Drosophila melanogaster: one gene and its partners. The protein of the gene in region 1 interacts with the protein of each later gene in a pairwise test. Each region holds a gene or a part of one and is shown on either strand. Other genes may lie near its edges.

Region 1 (7,414 bases):
GCGTTTGGCCTGCTCCAGCTGCCTCAGCTTGCTCTTTAACTATCAATGTGAGTCTGTGCAACACAACCGAATATTATGTAACTCCCGTTTCGTTTTTAGATATGCGCAAGGATCTGCGAGCCTGCGCTGAGATTGTCAAATCCTGCAGTGAATTAGAGATGCCGCTAAATGAGCTGCAGAACGAACAGTTCCTCAGTCTGTTCCTCGACCAGAGCGATCCTGTGGACTCTTCGGGAATGGCCAGCAAGTACAAGGCACCCAAGTCCTTCCAGTACAAGTTCTAGTCCCCAGTTTCCATCGTTAAGCCGTTGTCATCGTAGTTACAGCACAAGTGTTTGCACCATTGAGCAATATTGCAAGCATCCCCATATTGCAAGCCCCCACAAGGAATGTAGTGTCTCTTCAATAAATGTTATTTAATATCCATCTTCAGGTGGCTCCTTCATCCACCATGTTGCCCTCGGGCAGTTGGCCAGGCAAAATGCCGACGCATTCGTAGCAGCGGGATATCAAGTGGTTGCCGCATCGATGTTGCAAGCACTGTTGGCACCGCGTCCGCGATTTAGTGCCACGCTTATTTCGAGCGCAGGGCTTGCACCTGCGATGCTTCTCTCCGTACCGACTAGCCAAATTAATGCCCAAGGGCAGGCTCATCTTGTCGGGTGTTAGCACGCCTACGCTGTGCGTTAGTTTCGCCTCGCCGGTCGCCTCACTGAGCAGCCGCTGACTGGATTGGCCCAGGATTTCGCAGATTTGCAGTCGCATCACGAGCGAAGTGCTGGTGGATCTTCGCTGAAGGCGTCGCTGTAATCTCTGCTGTGTGAGGAAGAGTCCCAACTGTCTCTGGAAGTCGCGCTGATCCATAGCGGCATCGCCTTTGGGCGAAAGTCGTAACAGGATCCATGCATTCACGGCAGCCGCGTTGAGCACAAAGTGAAGTAGTTGCAGAAAAGGATTGATCTGCTTTTTCAAGGGTGCGGGCGTAGCGTGGGCTGTGCTGAAGCGCTGGGAGTGTTCGTAAAACTGCTGACAGGCTTCTGAGGTTTGCTCATATGCCTGGACTGCATCTACTTGGGAGCTAAGACCGCAGCAGAAGACTGCGTCGCCATCGAGCGGAATGAGTTTTGAGCTGCCACCAAACAAGGGTGATTCTGTGGGCCACTGCCGCGGCCAATGTGGCGAATTGGCCTCCAGCTTACCCAACGAGCTTATTTGCCGCTGCGCCAACTGCTCGCACTGCGTCAAGTTTAGATACCGTGATCCCAGCGTTACATTTCTTCCCGTGGTCTTGAAATCGCAGATCAGTTGTTCTACATCCTTGTCCGGACATCTCTGGTTTCTGCTTACCACTGCATTGGCCATGTACAGTGTCCTGGCATCACAGCAGAGGGTCATCCGTGACTTGGCCACCGCGCAGAATGTCTCATCCACGGTCAACCAACTGCTGCAGCCGTAGTAGGATCTGCAATTGATTATAAGGCGCTGCCAGAGCTTTTGGCCCTCGGACCAGCCGCAATTTCCCGCCAGACACTCGGAAATGCTTTCGAATCGAGCGAGCGACATGGATGCTCGGAATATGGCATTGCCCAGCTCCAGGGTCCACAGCTCATCCAATGGCCCATTGTGCCTGGCATTTCGGAACACTCCACAAAGGTAGCTTAGACCCAAGAATGCCCGCAGCTCCACAACGTCTAGGGGTCTCTGGACACTTGTGGCCGTTCTCCGCTTACGCATCTGTTCATTGATATGGCGAAGTAAAGACCGCAGCATTTCATCATCGAAGAGCAGCATCCATGCTTCCACTGCATTGGACACTGTTCGGGCGGGTCCCTTGCCACAGGCCTGTTGCCCCAAAAGGGGTAGATCCTCTGCAGAAATATCTGGGCTCCTGGTCACGCTCCATAGCTGCCCACAAGGAGATGTGTAGTTTCCGTTATTATTTGGTGGACGACCACGTCCTCGCTTCGGGGCAGCTGGCCTGGCGGAATCCTCCTTCTTCAGCACCACGTCAGCCAGTTGGTCCTCGTTCATCAGCATGTCGCTGTCCTCGAAAATCCAGGGAAAATTGCATACTGCTTCCTGTAGCGGATCGGAGTCATCTCCGTTAAAGGAGGCACTTTGGACTGTGGAATCGACCGGCGGCAGCCGCTCCTCCACCTCCATCTTTTCACCATCCTCGTCTTCTTCCTCCTGGTCGCTACATTTAATATTGGCCAGCAGCTCCTCGTCCAGCACGCATTCCATTGTTTGTTTATAAACTTGCAACAAAACAAACCTTTTCAGTCGTCGATAGGTTAGGACAGTAACGTCTATACATATCGATAATTTATATAGTTATCGAAAAAGACATTTAAAACATAAATCTTAAGCTTGAAAGGTTGAAAACTTATAAAAAAAATAGTTTGTTCTATTTAGAAAAAATTATGTACATTCTAAATATAACTTATTTATTTTAAATGTAGATTTAATTTCCAGCGTAGAGATAACTAGTGTATGTTTATAATTCTTAAACAAATTATACTTAACAAAACTTGTATTTATTCTTGGCGCCACTGTTCAAATTTCAAATGAACCTGCCAACTGAACTAACTCCCCAGTGGACCCCCATCCATGATTTATCGCACATAAGCGGCTATCGGATTTCTTTCGCCACTAATTTGTTGTTTGGCACGCAGCAAGGAAAAGGAATAAAACGCTTTAAAACCAGTGCCAAAATAGCTTTCCCCAACGTTCGTTACTATATTTACGTTGTCTGCAAAAAGAGTTTGTCTAATTGGCCTCGATACTACGGTTGTGACGACTGCCCCGTCACTACAGTTTGCTGAGTGCAGTAACCGGGGCCTGGCTGAAACACTGGGAAAACCAGTGTTTAGTGTAAATAAATGATAGTGGCACCCATTCGGACATCGCAGGTGAATCCCCGGGAGCTCAAGACGCCCGTTATTTGGGCGCGCAGTGAATTTGTCAAAATATTTTGGTTAAAGTGTCAATTTGACATGTTATATGTCATGGTCTCTCGTGTGCCAGTGCGATAGTTATCGATAGATAGCCCCAACTTAATTTGTTTTAAATATTTTTAAATTTCTTCTTTACTTAATTCACTACTGTAATACGTTCGTTTAATGTATAGTTCCTTGGAAATTAATCGATTTAGCAAGTAGACCGATTGGAAAGAAATCAAAAATCGATTTGAAATGCGTATTTGAACCTTAGTTGGCCATGACTTTGGTGTCTGAATGACGCCTGCCCTCAGAAAAAGTTAGTTGAATCTCAAAGTCTGTGGTGACAACACCTAAAGAAACTAAAAAGTGACAGGTTTCTCTGTTTGTAAAAAAAAAAAAATTGTAATTAAAGTTCTGTTCTTTTCCTTTCAATATTTGCATACCGTTTCTGGTTGTGTTTTAATGAATTTTCTGTTTTCTGAAGCTTAAGTCTGAGCTGCAATGATCTCGCCGGAACAAGAAGAGGTCAACATGGTCCTGGATCGCCATGTACGGCAGAATATCCAGGACATGATGCACGAGGCTCATGTCCAGGCGAGCCTGCTGGAGAACGAAGGTGAGTTTGCTATATTTCGGTCGAGTTCGGTCTTGTTCATGCCCGTTTTTTTTGCATGTCATCTGCAGGACGCGGCCGTTTCCACTCGGACTCAAGTTTGGACCAGGATTCTCTTCACGCTGACGTCATCGTGGAGGAGGATCAGAGCACCGAACACGGCGCCAACCAGGTGCAAAACTACCACGACATGATGGTGGACAGTGAACACCACATCGACATAAATGGGTCGCTGCGCAAACGTCGTGGAAATCTTCCCAAGACCTCTGTAAAGATTTTAAAGCGTTGGCTTTATGAGCACCGCTATAACGCCTATCCGAGCGATGCGGAGAAGTTCACCCTGTCCCAGGAGGCCAATCTGACGGTGCTCCAAGTGTGCAACTGGTTCATCAATGCCCGTCGCCGCATTCTACCGGAGATGATCAGGCGCGAGGGCAACGATCCTCTGCACTTCACCATATCGCGACGTGGCAAAAAGGTTAGCCCCAACTGTTCGAGATCAAGTGCGTTGGGCGCAAACTTGACTGGGCCGAATCCCGCACACGGAAGTCCTGCTTCCGAAGTGGTGTGTTATCTTCTGGTCAATCATTATACCACTGAAGTTACTAAATTGCTTGACTCCAGGTCGTTGGCGCTACAGAGGAGGTGGATGGCGCCGGTGAGATTCACGAGGGCATCGCCAATGTGCTGACCAACTTTGAACAGTATGTGCAGGGCCCCAACGGACAAATGGTCAAGATGGAGCCGGAGTACGAGGACAGTGTCATCTACAGGTAACTGGTAACCGGTCTTTATGACCTGCTTCCCTAGCGTTAGTCACTTCTATCTCCTATCCCATCCCACCTATGTCCAAACTCCTTTTCCTCTTCCAAGCTGGCAGCAGGCCATTGCAAACAACCCGATGGGCTTTCAAAGTCTTCACTCCTCGCTTCAAGCAACCATGATCGATAAAATTAAAAACTATCAGATGCGCAAGGCTGCCGCCATTGGGGGTTCGGCGGTTGGCTCTGGTGGTGCTGGTGGGTCGAGCTCCAACTCCAGTCCTGCCACATCAATACTGCCATACAGCCTTTTTGGCCAGCTGCCGCCAGAGTTCGATGACGAAGAAAAGCCAAGACCTCCGAAGCGCGTAAGAACGCGGACGGTTGCTGCAAAGAGTCCTAGGGAGAATGCCAAGCAAGCAAAGCAGAAGACTGGGAATAAGCAAGAAACCATGTACTGCTATAAGGATTCATACGGCGGAATCGTGGTGTCTCCTAGGTACAGCTTCTGCTCCCATTGACTGATCCAGAGCCTTAAATCTTACTCAAGTGCGAGTGGCGGTGCTAAGATTTTACTTTTACCCCCAGGTCCGAAGGCGAAGAGAGTGCACAGGGATACGAGTCCTGTGGGCCGAACAGCGAGGAGGAAGTACGCTTCGAGACCTCCCATGATTGGCAGAGCGTTATAAAGTAAGTAGCTATGTGGATGTATTAAGAAAATATTGTAATCTCGGCCTCTGCAATTCCAGAACTGTATTTGGTACTGAGGAAGTCAGCACTTCGGCTGGCAATAATCCAGGTACCTCTGGTTCTAAGGGATCTGTTCAGAATACCGCCATCTGGAATCGCAATCAGACTGCGAAGCGTGACGGTGAGTGAAGTTTGCAGACTTAGAGCTCGGTTTCTTTGGTAATATCCAACTCTTTTACTCCTAAAGTGAATCAACAGTTGACTGACTTTGAAAGCGAGCTGAATAGAATACAGGCCTCAGAAATCCAGACAATCGATCCTACCAACTCCAATCAACAGGACATTGGTGACAATCTACAGGCGGACGAGGTGTTTACCGGTGCCGAAGCAGAAGCTGGCCAGAGTCAATTATCTGCTATGTCGCAGGGTAACCTATACCTATTTTTATCAACTTTATATTGAATTTTTAATTATTTTATAATCTTGCTTTAGGCACAAGTCCAGATGAGCGTGCCAAGTACAAGTGTCTCTATTATCTAGTGGAAACTGCCATGGCTGTGCGCCAAAACGATGACGTCCAGGATGACGATTTCGTTTACATGGGAGACTAGAGCCTCAAACCAAATACCCACGCTACAGATCCCGACTTCCCAAAGTGCCGAAGCGTGTATATACAAATATGTATATATAGATATATATATATACTTAAGTAATTTAATCGAACAGCACTAGACCCAAAAATTTGTCTATAACCCCCATGTTATTGTGTTAATTGAGTAGGTTACTAACATAACGTACAAAGCTATAGATCAATTCGCAATGCGACCGCCCAAATACCTTTTTCCACAAAGTCAATTCACAAACAAATCGACTTAGTTTTGGACCTGACTCTTTTAAACTTAACATGTACACTACTGATACTTAAATAAAACATAAACAAGCATTTGAAATACACATTGCCATAAAATGATGGTGTGTTTTATCTAATTGGCTGATAGAGCCATTTTTTTAAGGTATCTAGTAATTATGTACACATACATACATAAAATGAGAACGTTTGTGGAAGGACAAAATTAATTTTGTTATAAATATTATAAATGTATTGGAATACTTTGGTTACCACAGATAATAAAGAGTGGCGCAAAAACAAAATGATTCGATTTTTAACTATAAAGCTATAGAACAAAAAAAAAGAATGATATATTCGAGTTCCCCGGCTATCAGATACCCGGTACATATATGTGAAAATGTGAACAAGAAATTTCATAATTTTTCTGGGGTATTGATAGATAATTCGGAAAAAAGAAATATCCAAAAATTTTCAAAAATGAGGGCGTGAGTTTTGCGCTGTTTTAGGGCGTTACAGTGGGCGTGGCAAAAAGTTTTCATTTTTCAAAAGTGTGGGAGTGGCATTTTGTACGGTTTGAAAGCGTTGGAGTGGACGTGGCAAAATAGGTCCACAAACTTGTGATAGTTCCTGACTTCATACGAACGGACAGTCAGACGGACGGACGGACAGGTCGACTCGGGTATTGATCCTGATCAAGAATATATGTGTTTTATATGGTCGGAGAAGCTTCCCTCTGCTATTACATACTTTATAACGAATCTAGTATACCTTTTTACTCTACGAGTAACGGGTATAACAAGTGACGATCGCACCTCCAACATACAAATCTTCTGAAATCAAAATGATATTACATTTGACCAAATAAATGCGCTTGTCTAAATTTTACAAATCAAAATTTTTATAAATTTTGGATAAGGTAAAAAGTACATTTCGAGACGCCCGTTACTTGGGCGCGCAGTGAATTTGTCTAAATATTCATGGTCTCTCGTGTGCAAGCGCAATGTTTGTGCGATAGTTATCGATAGTTGGCCCTAACTTAATTAATTTTAAATATTTATAAAATTCTCCTGTACTTAATTACTTACTTTAATACGTTCGATACAAGCAGACCGATTGAAAAGAACCATTTTTAAAAATCAATTGAAAAAATTTGTTTTTGAACCCTAGTTGGCCATGACTTTGGTGTCTGAATGACTTGCCTGCCCTCGGGAAAAGTTAGTTGAATCTCAAAGTCTGTGGTGACAACACCTAAAGAAACTAAAAAGTGTCAATTTTCTCTGTTTGCAAAAATTGTAATTAAAGTTACTGTGCTTTTCCTTTCAATATTTGCACACCGATTCTGGTTGTGTTTTAATGAATTTTCTGTTTTCTGAAGCTTAAGTCTGAGCTGCAATGATCTCGCCGGAACAAGAGGAGGTCAACATGGTCCTGGATCGCCATGTACGGCAGAACATAAAGGACCTGATGCACGAGGCTCATGTCCATGCGAGCCTGCTGAACAACGAGGGTGAGTTTCCTATATCCCGGTTGAGATCAGTCTTGTTTATGGCCGTTTTTT
Region 2 (5,947 bases), on another chromosome or scaffold:
TCGCTATGACGCTCCTTTTGAGCCTGATCACAGTCTTTAAGAGTCTGCAGGAGCAGAGTGAGGATGGCATAGTTTCAAAGAGTTCGCAAGAGTTTGTGGACCTCAAGGAGTTGGCCAAGCGATTTGCGCTCACATTTGGTTTCGATGCCATCAAGAATCGCGAATCTGTGGCCGCCATTCATCGTGGTGGCATTTATTTCGCTGCGAACAAGGAGCCAGATGATCCGGTGCGGGCTCCAACTCGCTTGCTCTTCCTGGAGGTTTTGAACGAGTTCAACTACAAGCTACTGAAGCAAGACAAGAAGGTCATAATGAGCTTTCTGGACAAGATAATACCACCCGCAATGCCATCCAGCCGAGCTGAGGAATGGCAGCCGCTGATATTATATCGCAATTCCTTGCTACATGGCGAAACTGATCAAGCGCCCGTCGCCAGCAAACGAGCCTACACACGTAAACGTCGAGATCATGGTAAGAATTTCATAGCTTTCATTTTATTTAGAATCAACATTATGAAAAACATGTTTTTAATTTAGATGAAGAAGAGGAGGAGGAGGAAGACGAAGAGGAACACAATGATCCTGATTACAGGGGCTAGGACCCATCAGGCAATCAGCCATACACGCGGCTTAAGTGCAAAATCTAATTTTCCGGAAAATCAAGTAGTTGTAAGATTAAAGCTAATATTATGTACATAAATACGTTTAAATTATATAAATTACTGTATCCTAATTGATTTCCGAATTGCTAAAGCTAAAGTTGGCCTTCATGAGCAACATTTTGGATGCACTTTCGGGGCTCAAGCCCGCCTGCATGTCGAAATACAAGTGCGTTGATTTTCTAAATAAGCCTTCACTAACCACACTTGCTGCTGGTGCTGATAAGAATTTCCTAACAATGCCATACAAGGATATGTATTTTATGTTGCTCCTCCACCAAATCAGGGGATCCATGTTCCTATCGATTCTGGGTTCGGAGTTGTATAGATATAGCAGATTCTTAATCTGAGACTGGGAGCCCATTGACGTATTTGGCTGTTGAGTGTTCGTCGTTCCAGTTGTCAGTATGCTATCCAGAATGCTATCGATCTTTGATTCATTCTTCTGGGACGATGTGGATGACACTTTGATTATTTTCAGCGGTGGCTGACCATTGCAATCCTCTGGCACTCCAGCGAGCTGAAGCAGAACTTCATTGGCCACCAACTGCTCCTCACGTTCGGTGAAAAATGCTTGCTTATATCTCGGATCCAAATATGTGGCCATCAAAAAGTTGATGTCGCTAGTGATGTGGGCGAACTTCATTTCCAGTTCTTCAAGCAACTTTCTGGCGAAACTGCATATAGTCTAGACATTCGAAATATTAGACAATACTTTATGGTTTTATCTACTGCAACTTACCACAGATGAGACAAAGTTATGGACATCTGTTCGGAGGGAATCCCGTAAAGCGGCAACCAGCGGGATTACGGATGAGGTGGTCGTAGATGGATTGCTCCATATCTTGATTGTTTCTTCACAAGGCTGCATTACTTTGCTGCACAAATCGATCTCTATCCATTCATCTGGATATATTTGGACCAGACTATACTCTTCGCAGTACAAGGATAGAGCATCTTTCATTCGAAACACGCTGCTCATCATCTGAAAAGCGGAATTCCATTGACAGGGATCGTAAGGTGTAAGTGTGCACGGGTCTCGCGTCAAGCGGATCTCTTGAATGAATTTCAGATGATCGTTGGCCATCTTAGACGACGCAAAATGGTCAACTATTTGCTTGCACTTGGATGAAAGGTTCTGCAGTAATTCGTTCGATTGCAAAGCAAATCGAACGCACATCTGCAGGCGGTGCACACTGCAATCGGGCAGGGAACCTGGCAGCGCCGTCATCTCGTCCCTGATTACGCAGTGTATCTTCTCTTTGGGCACCTCAATGGCCAAGCTGGGCACAAGATCTCGAATGCAACAAGCTAGCTTCGAAGTGCTTTCGTAATTCAGAGCCTCGCATTTCAGCATTAGGCGGTGAGTCTGAAAATCCCTTGATATTCCGGAGCAGGACAAGCTCAGCAGTCCTTCGCCTTTGTCACCACGCCAGAGACTCGTAGACAACGATATGGCATCCAGCAGATCCACCTGTTGCTTCAAATGCTGATGCATTTTCCTTTGTATATCCTCGCACAGTATCTTCTCATAGTAGCTCCTTGGTTGAATCGTGTACCGCGGCTGCAGCGTCCTAATGAAATTTACGAATCCTGGTCCTTCAATGAACTCAAAGGAGTGATTTAGTAGCATGAGGGCCAACTTCTCATCACAGCGTTTGCTGTAGGATATATCCTCGGTGTCCAATGGATCTGAATCTGTTTCCTAAAATGATTAATAGAATAATTTAATGCATCAGATTAGTGAAAAACGCATAATTTATAAAAATATAATACTAAGACCATAACAGTACATTTTTAAAACCTCCTTAACTACACTTTATAAACACAACACATGTTTGCCGATCTAGCCAAACGCGGATAAAAATCCGCATCCGCTGTTGCTATATTAGTAAAAAGTTTTAAATAAGAGAAGGCATAAATTACTTTATGAACTACCAAAGAAACTATATTTGAATGGAAACTTAAGTTTGGGGAAACCATCTCCACATGACAGAATATCTAGAAGGGCATGTACCCCGATTTCACATAAGGTACACTTCTTGCACAGTACATATGCATGTACATAGGTATGTATGCACATCTATATGCTATCCCACTTACGTGCAGATTCAATTCTAGCTGGGCTGTGGGGTGCTGTGGCGAACCGATGGAGATCTCGCTCTTAACCAGGTCCAGGTACTTTATGTCCCCGGATAGAGATAGGAACTCCGGTGGGTGCTTGCTCTTCAGATGATTCCGCAGACATGTTGTGCCGCGTCCTCGCCTCGAGTAGTTCCTGTTGCACAGCAGACAGGTGGCCACTGTGCCGGATGTCTTGTAGAAGTACTGCCACACATTGCTTTTCTTCTTGCTCATCGCTGCAATTCTTTGGTAATTCTCAAATTGTACATTTTTTGCGGATGTCCACATCCGCCTCTACATCCGTTCTGCGGCAGAGTTCGACATCCCTGGCAGATATCGATAGGCCCATCGATGACCATCACTAATATGCTGCAATCAGTTTTTGGCGCGCCAAAGCAGCTGTTGTTTTTTGCATTCGAGGTTTTTGAGGCATTTGCAAATTCATTCGTTAACTAGATAATGCCCTGTGCGATGGAGCTGCCCAGCACGCCCGATGAACTGGCCGCCCAGCAAGCGGACAGCGCTGCACTCAAGGACTTGCTCAAGGATCCCAGTCGTTGGCACTCGATTCCCCTGCTCAACTACACGCCTCTTCACAAGCTGAAGGATCAGACTCTGGTGCGCTTTCGTGGAATGATCCAGGACATGATGGACCCAGAAATCTATCTGGAGCGCTACGAAGTGAAATCCGCCGACGGCAGCAAACGTGTACAGGAAGGAAAGTACAGGGACTGCTTGAAAATAGCCAATGGCGAAGTGATTGACTACAACGCCGATGGAAACGTGCATGGAGAGAGGCGTACCATGTTCGTGGTCTCTGTGCCTGGTCTGAACGATTGGAGCAAGGAGCATGAGAAGCTGTGCTGTCCCCAGATCGATTTGGCCAGTCTGGGTCAATCTCCCAGTTCAGCCAAGAAGCGGACTATTGTAGGCGAAGAAGAAGCCATGGATGTGGACGTTGCGAGCGAAACAACGTTCAAGCGACCCTGCCTAAAAGAGATTCAAAAAGATAGCGAGCCAGTCGGCGCCTCCAAATCCTCTGTTCTTGGGTCTGATTACCTGATTAACTCGCCTCTGCCGGATCGTCCCAGCATGGCATGCATGGTAAAGGTTTACGAGGAGTTCGATACCTACCAGCTTAACTCGCTGGTCGACTTTGTGGGCTTTCTGTCAGTGGATGCTTCACTAGACGCCGCTACCCTGGAAATAGACGATTGTGAAAACTTGAGTGAACTGCAGGCAGCTCATCCATCGCCATTTCTTATACCCCGCCTGCATGCCTTCGGAGTCCAGGTGCTGCCGCATGCCAATCCGCTGCTGGACAAAAGCCTTCGACAGCCAACGGAAATATGTGAGGAGACGTATCCAACCCACCTTGCTGTGCACAAAGATCTGCGCATGCTTCTTAAACTCTGCCTCTTTGATGACGATCTGGCTGCCGAGTATTTGCTCTCCCACCTAATATCTACGGTCTACAGTCGTTCTGAGATGCAGAGCATCGGCAAGTTCGCCCTTAACCTTTGTAATCTCCCTAAGAATTGTGAGGCGTATGCAACCAAGTTGTATCAAATTCTGGAGCTGCTACTGCCGGCCAGCCATTACATGCCCATGACTCTCGTCACACTAAACACGGCAGCCTTTGCCCCAAAGTAAGTTGGCTAAGCAGAAATAGTATAAAATTGAATACCTATTAATGAGTACTTGCAGGAAGGATTATGAGACAAACAAGCTGGTTTCCGGCGTACTACAGTTGGCTCCCCATACGCATTTGGTGCTCGACGAGACGTGCATGCAACAGGGCAAGCTGGAGGCCAATGGTGTTCATGCCGTTCAGCATTTAGCGCACTTGATCAATAATCAGGAACTGAAGTGCGACTTTCAGTATTACCAAATAGACTACCAAGCAAATATTCCAGTTCTCGTGCTCAGTGAAGGGCGAAGTATGTTGCCGGTAAGAATATAAGTTTATATAAATAATCATTATATCCAATAGAAACTATTAATGATATGTTTTCAGAGCGATTTTGTGCTGCCCATTAATGCCGATTCTAAGGCCGTGGAACTTGTTGATGAATCTCTAAAGGCAGCCCACCACTATCTGCAGCCATCACGTCTGCAGCAGTTTCGCAAGTACTTGACCACAGCGCGCACTAGCGGCTTCAACGTGAGCGAGGAGCACACTGAAATGATCCAGCAGGATTTCGTGGACATGCGTAAAGCTAATGTCAAAAGTAATGCCGATGATCTGCATGGATTGCTGGTCCTCTCACGGCTGCTGGGCATCGCCCGGGGGAAGGATACGTTGGACAAAGAAACATGGCAGCTGGCTACGGAGTTCGAAGCAAAGCGTCGCCAGCGTATTCAATCTCTGCCGAAATCATCTGCCCAATTGCGCAATTAAGAGGGCCTCTCTTTTATACCATTTAATATTAAGTTTTTATAAATAAAATAGAATTTTTTAAAATTATTCTCTTTATATTTAATTTGTAGCTTTACAGGCAAGTCTAGTAATTTAGTACTCAAGTAAATGGGACTCTAGGAGCGTCATGACTCTTGGTCCACTACAACTTCATGACTTAAATGCTCGAAACGCCCTTCGATTAGCTGACTGGCCAGGCAATCTCCGCACAGATTAAGGTAACAATAACAACTGTTACAACGCCATTGGGTCCTGGTCACAGATGCCTCTTCGCACTCGGCACACTTGGCGGCCAGCAAGTCTGGCTCATATCCGTCCTCCATTTCCCGTTTCTCGTCCTGAATGGCTGATAGAAGCTTAAGGCATAGTTCCTGTTTTCGCTTTGACTCCGCATTCAGATCGGCATCCATGTACTCGGATTCGATCTTTGGTTCGATCTTGGATGCCGGCATAAGGAGCATATCGCTCGCAGGCGATGGGATTCGCAGGTCGTCAAATGTGAAATCGTCCTCTGGCATTTGTAGCGATATATTATGAGCGGGGAAGAAGGTTGACTTGCGAAGTTTGATCTTCGGCTTACTCAAACCAGGACGTCGATGCTTGGGTATGCGACCGGGCACAGGCATTCCGGCATCGTGCAGCTTTTGGAAATACTTCTGGACACGACTATACACTTGCTGTGCCGTTCTGTTGCCCAAGGCCTTCGCTATCTTCCCGAATCTGCGCATTTCCACTTCCTCTGGCGG
Region 3 (8,889 bases), on another chromosome or scaffold:
CTGCTGCTGCTGCTGCTGCTGCTGTTGCTGCTTCATGCGCGCCTGACTTTCGTGACTCATGGAGGACATGCTGCTGCCACCGCCAGTGGTTCTATAATGTCAAACAATGGCAATTTATAAAAATATATATACAATATATAACTAACATGAAGCAACATTTACAGCTTAAATCTACAGCGAATGCTGCTCAGTTGGCCAAGTGTAAAAACGTGCAATATTATAAATATTAGTGTTATGATTTGTAACATAACCAGGCCGAAAGCCATAAGCCAAACACTCGGAGAAAAGAAATGAAAATTATTTGAAGTATTTCCTCGTAATAAACAAGTTGCCTAAGCACCACGATCGTAAACAAAATTGGGGAATTTGTTTACACTATGCTACCAAGTCGCGGCCTGGCAAGTTCGACAAATATGAAAAGCCCTTCGAATAAATTGTTTATGCCGCCCGGCACATCTGTCAGTCCACCCATCACCATCATCATCAGTAGTCCCATTCCCATTCCCATTCCCATTCCCTAAACCATTCCCATTTCCATTTCCATTCCAGCTTCACATTCTCGGCATTTTGAAGTTCTTTTGTTTTTGAGTTATTGTTGCGTTATTTGAAGTTTTTCAATATTTTCCGGGAATATCTATGCCGAATGTCGACCGAATGTCTAGCTCCACTTTGGACATTTGTGTATTTCAAGTTTTGAAAAGTGGGTCAATTTGTTTATCATTTGTTATTATTATTACATATTTACATTTATACTACTTCTAGACGTTCGAAAATTGTGTACTATTATTATTATATATATTTTGAAATTTATTCATTCAGCATTTTGAAATGCTCGTGTCAAAAATCTAGAACTAATTTTAAGCACATGTTTTTTTTTTTTTTAACACAATGCTAGACAATCAAATTACTTTGCCACATTTTCGCAGACAAATGAAATCGCATTAAAATATAGTTGCAAGCTGATTTCAGCTTTCATAGTTAATAGGTAAAAATAAAAAAAAATTAAAATAACAAAAAGATTTGGAACTACTTACACATCGTTGGTGCCATCATCCCGAAAGCCTTTGGCGAATGGATTGCTGGAGATCTTCAGCTGTGTCACCTGCAAGACGGCCGGAAAATTGGTGGAAAATATTTTTATTCGACTGGAAAAGCGCTTGAGGCATGCCGACAAGCTGGCGGGCCAAACAAATAAATTAAATACCCAACAAATTAGTGAAAAAAAAATTAAAAAAAAAAAAAAATAATAAAAGAAAATATGTTTATGTGGCATATGTGGCATTCCGCTGGCGGCGGGGTAAAAATGATTTGCGATAAATTCGAGGGCGGGTGGAAAAAGTGTTAACACCCCCACATAAATAATTTAAATACTTGCCCCAACGATGTCTATGGTTATATTTTTAGCCACCCACAAAATTCCCTCCCCCCTCCCCCTCCCCCTGGCCATCATTATGAATCACAACCAAGACAAAAAAATGTGGAAAACCGAGGGTATACAATGTACATATGTATGTCGAGAGTTCTTTCAACTTGCGATTAGATATGCTGTTCACTGTTCATTACTAATATCAATGCACCCACCTGATATCAATCCCACCTGATAATCTTATCTTCCCCATTTTTCGAATGAAAGCCACAGTGCATTGGAAACGTGGTTTCTAAAATCTTGTGTATTTGTGTATGCTACTTTTTTATTTTTAATATTTTTTTTTTCGGGTTAGAGTATCTGCATGGTCTGTGCTCGCATTTCCAATTGCTGTTATATATACATATATATATTCGCTATGGTTGAAATTGTGCTAGCTTTGGCCGCCGTTTGTTATAAATTATGGGAAAAACATAAACAATAAGGCCAAAATGGCACAAAATGGTCGCGGCCTTTTTGGCCGCTTCGAATGCCAAGATGAACTTATTGATAATACATATAAATCATTATGGTAAATGTTTACAAATAGCAACCAGCATATTTCGATTAACAATATATATCATATATTAACAATATATATATCATATATATATCATGCTCACCCGCTGATTCTGGTAGGCAGTTACGGCCGTAAAGCTCGTTTCCGGAAAGATGAAAGTGCGAAAGTGGCTGGAGTGCTCGTTCTCATCCAAGGAGGCGTTCTTCGGTGGCAGATAAACCAGATGGAAACGCGGCTGGTAGCGATGCATGGAGTTCAGAATGATCTGGAGATGAAGAGGCAGGATTTGAATATACCTATTTATCTATCTATCTAACTATCTATATATCTATCTATCTATCTATATAAGTAATGAAACGTACATGTCCATTTTCGTCCAGCTGGTTATTGGTGAGCTTCAATTTGTCAAAGGACACGATCTGCTTCATCCAATTGGAGCCGACGGCTGGCGAGTCGGGATGCACATGAATCCTGGGCGGGGAAATGGGATCCGCCTTGCCAGCCACCACCCAGCAGGAGCTGTTGCAAATTGAAGTGCATCATTTTCATCGAATTCCATGTGGCCATGGCTTTTTAACATTAACTTACTTGTGAAAGGCGTAGCGATAGCGTTTGTCATCCATGGGCACAAAGTCCATCATGCAAATGTAGGTGGCATGTGGATCCAAACCACCGATCCTCACCTGAAACGTGGGAAACATGCGTCGGCCCGTCTTGGTGATGATCATTTCGGTGCCCTGGGCATGGAACTGATCCCACAGCGCCTTCGTCTCCAGCACCACAATGGCCTGGGCCAGCGATGGATGCACTGGCTCCGATTCCTTAATTATCAATTGGAAATCATATATTTTAAATGATCTATTATTTATTTCGTTTCCCATCGTTGAATTTACTTACACCTTTGCTGATATTATGGCTATTGGGCTTCACTGTACCGTTCTCCGCACTGTTGTTGTCTTTTTTGTGCTGTCCCTTGAACTTTTTGGACGCGGTGGATGCACTGACTCCGCCAGCTGATGTCGTTGTGACTGCCGTGCCGCCGGCTGTTGGTGCCATCGAGGCTTCACTGTGTACGCCGGCATAATCGGTTGGCAGCGATACGGACGACGATGACGACGACGACGACTGATCCGGGCAACTGGGATTCGAGATGCTGCTGGTGCTGCTGTTGCTGTTCGCGGTGCCAGTGCTGCCTGTACTGTGCGTCTCGATGTCCGCCAATTTGGCATCGATCTGCTCCAGCGGCTTGTACGAGCTGCGATCCTTGCCAGCCGTTTGGATGCAGGCTGCAGTGAAGCACAAGTTGGTGTTACAGTGCGGGTTAAAGTGGAGGTTAAGGTGTGGGTTAAAGTTGTGGTTAAAGTGCTGGTTAAAGTGGTGGTTAAAGTGCGGGTTAAAGTCGCGGTTAAAGTGGCGGTTAAGTAGTAAAAGTAATGTAACATAAAATGCTGCTCATTAAAAGTGAAGAATGATCAAGTAATCCATGTGGCTATGTAAAATATGTAAAAAATCTATACAAAACTCGATTTACTTTAAAGAAAACTATAGTTTGGATATCCCTATAAACTATCCTTATCCCTTTATAAACTAATTAATAATGAAGATATCTCAATTCAAGCCCCTGTATTTTTTCATATCCCACTGACAAATGGGCGGAAAATATGCGACTATAAATCAAACACGTAGCGCGTATAAATTCTATAGCAAGTGAATGGGTTTTATATATATAAAATATATATGCATGTATATAGCTGCTGGGATTTGCTAATTTCATACTCAATGTGATTTATGCGATTTAAATGAGAAAGTGGGGCAGAAAGCACGTAGACGCCACGCCGGCGCAGATTTCTCACTTCTGGAGCTCGCAGTTCACAGTTCTGAATTCTGATTAAAGGAGTCTTGTAATAATATCACTTGATGATATATCCACACACCGACTTCTTTTTTTTTGTTTTTTTTGTTTTTTGTACGTTTCGAGTTGCGAGTTTGGGGCAAATGGGACAACATGTCCAATTATAAAAGAGGCGTCTGAGTAGCGGCGGCTGCTGATTGAGTTGCATGCTCTAAATTTAGGATCTCCCCTTTTCGGGGGATGCCTGTAAAATGGTATGGTATGGTATGGTATGGGATTGCATGGGATGAGATGAGATTTTCAGCAATTAATTGTCACTGGGCTCGCAGTTGCGGGAATTGCCGCAATGGCAATCAATGCCGCGAATGACCCATGACAGGTCATTTAGCCGCTTTAGCGCTAAATAGTTGCCCATTTTCCTCGATTTTTTTTTTTTAGCATTTTTTGCTGCACGAATGAATTCTAAAATCAATTAACGTTTGGCACAACAAATCGTTTTTCTGTCACATGCACAACATCAAACAACAACAAACACGAGAGAAATGCCACTTGAAATCTCGGGGATCCGGGAATTCTGAGCTAATTGATCGGGTTTTCTGGTTTTCTGATCTTTTGGTTTTCCGATTCTCTGGTTTTCAGTTTCTCAGTTTCTCAGTTTTTTTTTTTTTAAACTTTTGGATGTCATTTGTGCCGCCGCTGCCATGCTCGGTGTATTTTGCTAATTACTCTATCGCAAACGGATTCCATTTCAGTTTTTTGGGTCACTTGCAGGCAGACAAATGATATGGAATATATACATTTGTTTGCTAGCAAAATTCCATTGCCTGATTTTTGAACAAAAAACATAATATCGAATAGTCAAATGGAAAATATGACTTTTTTGTTGCTTCGCCTTTTGTTTGCTACGCGATACTTCTTTGATAAATATTTAAAGCATATATTTGAATTTAAGAAGTTTTAGTTGTACATTCGATTGAACTGAAAGGTAAAGCTAATAAAATCTTGGAAAAATATGTTTAACTAGTAGTATGCTAATATAAACTAAAAGCCTATTTTCTAGTTTAAGTTTTGAAACAGATAGTAAAAAAAAAATATACTTTACAGGACTTAAAAGTCTAAACAAAAGTAAAAGTTCATGCAAAAGTTATAACATATTAAAAATCTACTTGTATGCTTGTTTGCGACTTTTAAAGGTACACAACCTAATATCTTAATATCCGATTTAAAATACTCCGCGGTAGAGTTGCCTAATCCTCTCCAGCTTAAGTCAACTCAAACGACTCACCTTCGATCTGCTTCATGGGACTGAGTCCGCCGGTCATGTACGGCGATGTCCAGTAGTCGTTGCCATAGCAGTTGTAGTCCGTTAGGCTGGTGTCCAGGAACTGCATGGATGTGGTGGTCATCATGGCGCCGGCGCACTCAGTGGGGCCCATCAGGTGCGTCATGGCGAGCGTGATCGTTGGAATATATATATATATGATATATATATATGATGGCTGGATATGTGATGCTCACAGTGGAAGAAAGGAAATCGCAGCGAGTTCTTGGCCCATTTATTCCATTTATTCCGGCACAATTTGTTTTGATCTCGAACGTTATTCGCGCAGTTGTCAAATTTGATTATTGCACCCACACACAATCACTCACTCATTCACTCACTCACTCACTCACTGTGCACTGCAAAAAAAAAGTATGTAGTGGTGCGAAAATCCAACGCCAACCTTTCGCTGTTGTCAATCAGAATCGAGATCGAGTTCAAGAATCGAATGAAAAATCAAATTAATTCTCTTCGAATTGTTTTTATGGCCCGATCGCGTTGACTGGCGAAAATTTGCCCGATTGTAGTTTTTTGTTTTTTGTTTTTTTGTTTTTTGTTTTTAATTCCCTGTGTTAGCTGATTGATTGACTTGAACTTCTTTTATTTGTTTTCTTTCTAATTCGACTGGCAGAAAGCGTTGAGTTGTCTCAATTGCCACCTTCTTCCGGCCAAGTGCGAACTGATTATCCCGTATAGTATCCTATGTTTATATCTCGCGGATATATCGATCTGATCTGATTTCGAATGCGATCTCTGGATGCCTAGATCTCTGATCACGCACACATCCGTTCCGTCAAGCGCTGGTCCGCCGAATGAGAACAACTACTGCTGCGGCTGCTGCTGCTGCTGCTGCTGGGCAGATGCATCGCTGCCTCTCGAGATCCCAAGATGCCGCATTGTACGGACCATCTCCCCAAATCGAGAAATCTATCCGCCAATCGCCGGCCGCAGCATCCAAATTTAGACTCGCCAGCCGCACCAATCGATCCACCAATGGCCGCACGGCCACCTCCTCCTCCTCCATCTCCTCCTCCTCCTCCTTCTCCTTCTCCTCCTTCTACTCCTCCTTGGATCGCACCGACATGTGTTGGCTCGCCTGGGATCTAGCCTAGTATCAAGTGGATGAATATGCCGCGCAGAATTGAGCGTAGGGTGCGCGCAAGGCATTTACCAGATGTGGCTACAGTGAGGCCTAGAACTTGGTGAACACTTGGGGTTTGCTATCTGCAACTCTTTGTTTGGTTTTATGCAAACTATGCTTAACATAGTTATATTTATGTAATCTAATTTGATCATATTAATAACTTAATGCATGTAAATAGTATAGAGGTATCCTTTAGAGTATATAGATCACTGTACTCTCCACACGTTTCACTAATTTCTGCTCCACTGTTTACTTCTCTCTTGTTTTTTTTTTTTTTTTTGAAGGGGCGTGGTCTTTGACCATAAACAGCAGGCGGTGGAGAAGATCAAGAAGGAGGAGGAGCAGGTGATCCCCACTTTTGCATATTGTTTTCTTCATTCTCTTTTTTTTCAGGGGGGCGCGCTGATCAGTGGGCGTGGCCCGTGGAGTGGGTGGCCGACCAGAGTCATGGGCCTCATTTGGAAAACGCTTTTAATTGGACTGCCGCACGCATGGTGGTGCTGGTTGCTCGTGGATCTCGCGGTGCTCCGCTCAATGCTGCAGTGCAGCCGAGATGTTGCTGCTGCTGTTGGCCATAAATACAAATTGCGCCATAACCTCGACACTAAATAAACCGTAAAAAGGAAAACGGAATATTAAGACGTTGGCAAGGCGCACCCAAAAAATTCAATTCATTTGGAATAATCATAAGTTTTTGGAAAAAATTGCATTAAACATAAGAAATACGAAGAGAATATGAATTAATACTTAATACATAAAAAAAAGGATTACTGCTAATTTTTCATACGAAATTTGAATTAGCTGTGAGCAACATTTGCGCTCAGTGTAGCGGCGGCCACCACCTCCGCCACAAGAGGGAGTGAGATGGGCGGTCGAAAATGGCGTCTGTTGGCCATTGGAGCCCGGAATGTGGGCCCAGCGGAGATGGAGATCCGGGGAAGCCGAGAAAACTGGACCGATCAAAGTGAAACAGCCCGATTAACCGGGTGCGTCTGCTTTTCATCAGCCACGGCCATTCCAATTAGTGGGTACATACATATGTATACATATAGATGGTATATCTATTATATATAGCATGTAGTAGTATATGTTACCTGGCACACGGGGTCTCCAAGTGAATCGATTTGTTTACCCTCCCTCCTACTCACCCCTTCCATATAAATCTACGCATCCAGTTGCGTCCTGGATTTATGGAACAACTGCTTGTTAATGTTTTTCCCTGATTTTCGTTTGCCGCACTACTGTTTACAATTATTTTGAGTTAATTTTTTTTCCCCTTTTTTTTGGCATTTTCAGAAGCATTTCGATCGCAGCAGATCGTACCATGCAGTCCATAAATAATACATAAATTTGAAAAATTGTTATGGCATTGGCCATGCCATTTTAGTCGTTAATTATTTGTTTGAGTGTAAACAATTGGAAATGAAATGCTAACTGCTTCGAAGAAATTACTTAAATGATTCATAAATTCGATATTCGATCTTTTTTATCGATTATATAAATATTATATATAAATGAGTGTAATGCATTTGTTGTAAAATTTCCATCATGGACGAAATCGACTAAAGGTTTATTATTGTATCGTAAATTTAGATTCCAAATCGAAGCGTTTGGCTTAAAGGAATTTCGAAATTAAATGACGACTAAATATTTTTAATTTAAGATAATTTACAACAGTCTACTTCTCATTGTCGTTATTCGTGGCCTTCTTCTTGAGATCCAGAGAATCCATGAGATCCAATGGAGCAATCCAGCTCCGGTTCCGTCTGGCCTTTGAGCGATAAATCATCGGTTTGAATTGAGGACAAATCGTGTCCAGTCATGTCCTGGGCCTCCAGTGCATCATCATCGTCACCTGCGTTGAAGTTTAGTTGACTTTCGTCGTCCGGTGGATTGACTAGGCCACCAGGATATTCTTCGCGTTGCTGATAGCCACCGATCAGTGTAAACATAACTTCACTATCGTCTATCCTGCCATAGCCGAACTTGCTTAACTTGCTGCTCTGATTGGCCGTCAGGACGACCGGCTTCCAGGTGAGATCCAGGGTGGACTTATTGGGCCCCAAATCCTCCAGTACGCTCTGATTGGATAGCACGCGACCCTTGTACGACAGCCGACTGAAGCCCATGGGCACGGACATGACTTGCCCGATCCGTGCCTTCAGGCTGGCCACCGTTCCTAAGCGATCCACCTCGTAGACGGTCTTCTTGCCGTCGCGCGTCTGAACCAAAACTTGGACCTTCCGCATCCTGATGCCCGAATTTATATATATATATATATATATATATATATATAGATAATTTTAGATTTTATACACAAGCTCTGTGTCTCCAGGTGTAGTCTGCTTTGTTCGGATAGAAGTTTGCTTCTGGAACCCCTTGTGTAAAACTGTCGTCGTCATGCGAATGCCAGTGCGAGTAAAATTTCATGGCATCCTTGGATTACCTTATAGCCTAATCAACATTTGTTGATTCTCCAATCGAATTTCATAAACAAAATCGAAGAAAATCAAGTACAAGCTATCAGAAAGTTGATGGCAACGAAGTTCTAGCGAAATGAATTTGACTACCTAATTGGAACAAGAAAAAAGCATTTAAATCAAATTGACTAATATTATAACTTGCATTTAAAAACCCGCACAGTACA

What was found.
Region 2: the proteins of achi (region 1) and CG13775 interact in a two-hybrid assay, tested with the Drosophila melanogaster proteins (one large-scale study listed by BioGRID).
Region 3: the proteins of achi (region 1) and org-1 interact in a two-hybrid assay, tested with the Drosophila melanogaster proteins (one large-scale study listed by BioGRID).

What each region holds. Positions count from the first base shown.
Region 1 is NT_033778.4:12,510,274-12,517,687, reverse strand, and holds achi (achintya), read left to right. Parts: upstream 1-2,625; 5' UTR 2,626-2,912; intron 2,913-3,289; exon of another isoform or gene 3,290-3,344; intron 3,345-3,426; 5' UTR 3,427-3,443; coding exon 3,444-3,558; intron 3,559-3,626; coding exon 3,627-4,120; intron 4,121-4,179; coding exon 4,180-4,328; intron 4,329-4,428; coding exon 4,429-4,815; intron 4,816-4,904; coding exon 4,905-5,006; intron 5,007-5,065; coding exon 5,066-5,187; intron 5,188-5,253; coding exon 5,254-5,433; intron 5,434-5,498; coding exon 5,499-5,617; 3' UTR 5,618-6,154; downstream 6,155-7,414. Other genes in the region: CG8818 (uncharacterized protein), read left to right, coding at 1-47, 100-284; CG13151 (uncharacterized protein), read right to left, coding at 430-2,244; vis (vismay), read left to right, coding at 7,249-7,363.
Region 2 is NT_033779.5:6,953,857-6,959,803, forward strand, and holds CG13775 (uncharacterized protein), read right to left. Parts: upstream 3,095-5,947; 5' UTR 3,017-3,094; coding exon 2,762-3,016; intron 2,488-2,761; exon of another isoform or gene 2,452-2,487; intron 2,364-2,451; coding exon 1,401-2,363; intron 1,347-1,400; coding exon 729-1,346; 3' UTR 599-728; coding exon of another isoform or gene 537-598; 3' UTR 501-536; downstream 1-500. Other genes in the region: SA1 (stromalin 1), read left to right, coding at 1-471, 537-598; CG3430 (uncharacterized protein), read left to right, coding at 3,242-4,431, 4,490-4,733, 4,800-5,183; Atac1 (Ada2a-containing complex component 1), read right to left, coding at 5,327-5,947.
Region 3 is NC_004354.4:8,449,070-8,457,958, forward strand, and holds the start of org-1 (optomotor-blind-related-gene-1), read right to left. Parts: upstream 6,001-8,889; 5' UTR 5,226-6,000; coding exon 5,063-5,225; intron 3,212-5,062; coding exon 2,823-3,211; intron 2,747-2,822; coding exon 2,514-2,746; intron 2,445-2,513; coding exon 2,288-2,444; intron 2,191-2,287; coding exon 2,029-2,190; intron 1,103-2,028; coding exon 1,035-1,102; intron 92-1,034; coding exon 1-91. Other genes in the region: CG32713 (uncharacterized protein), read right to left, coding at 7,937-8,491.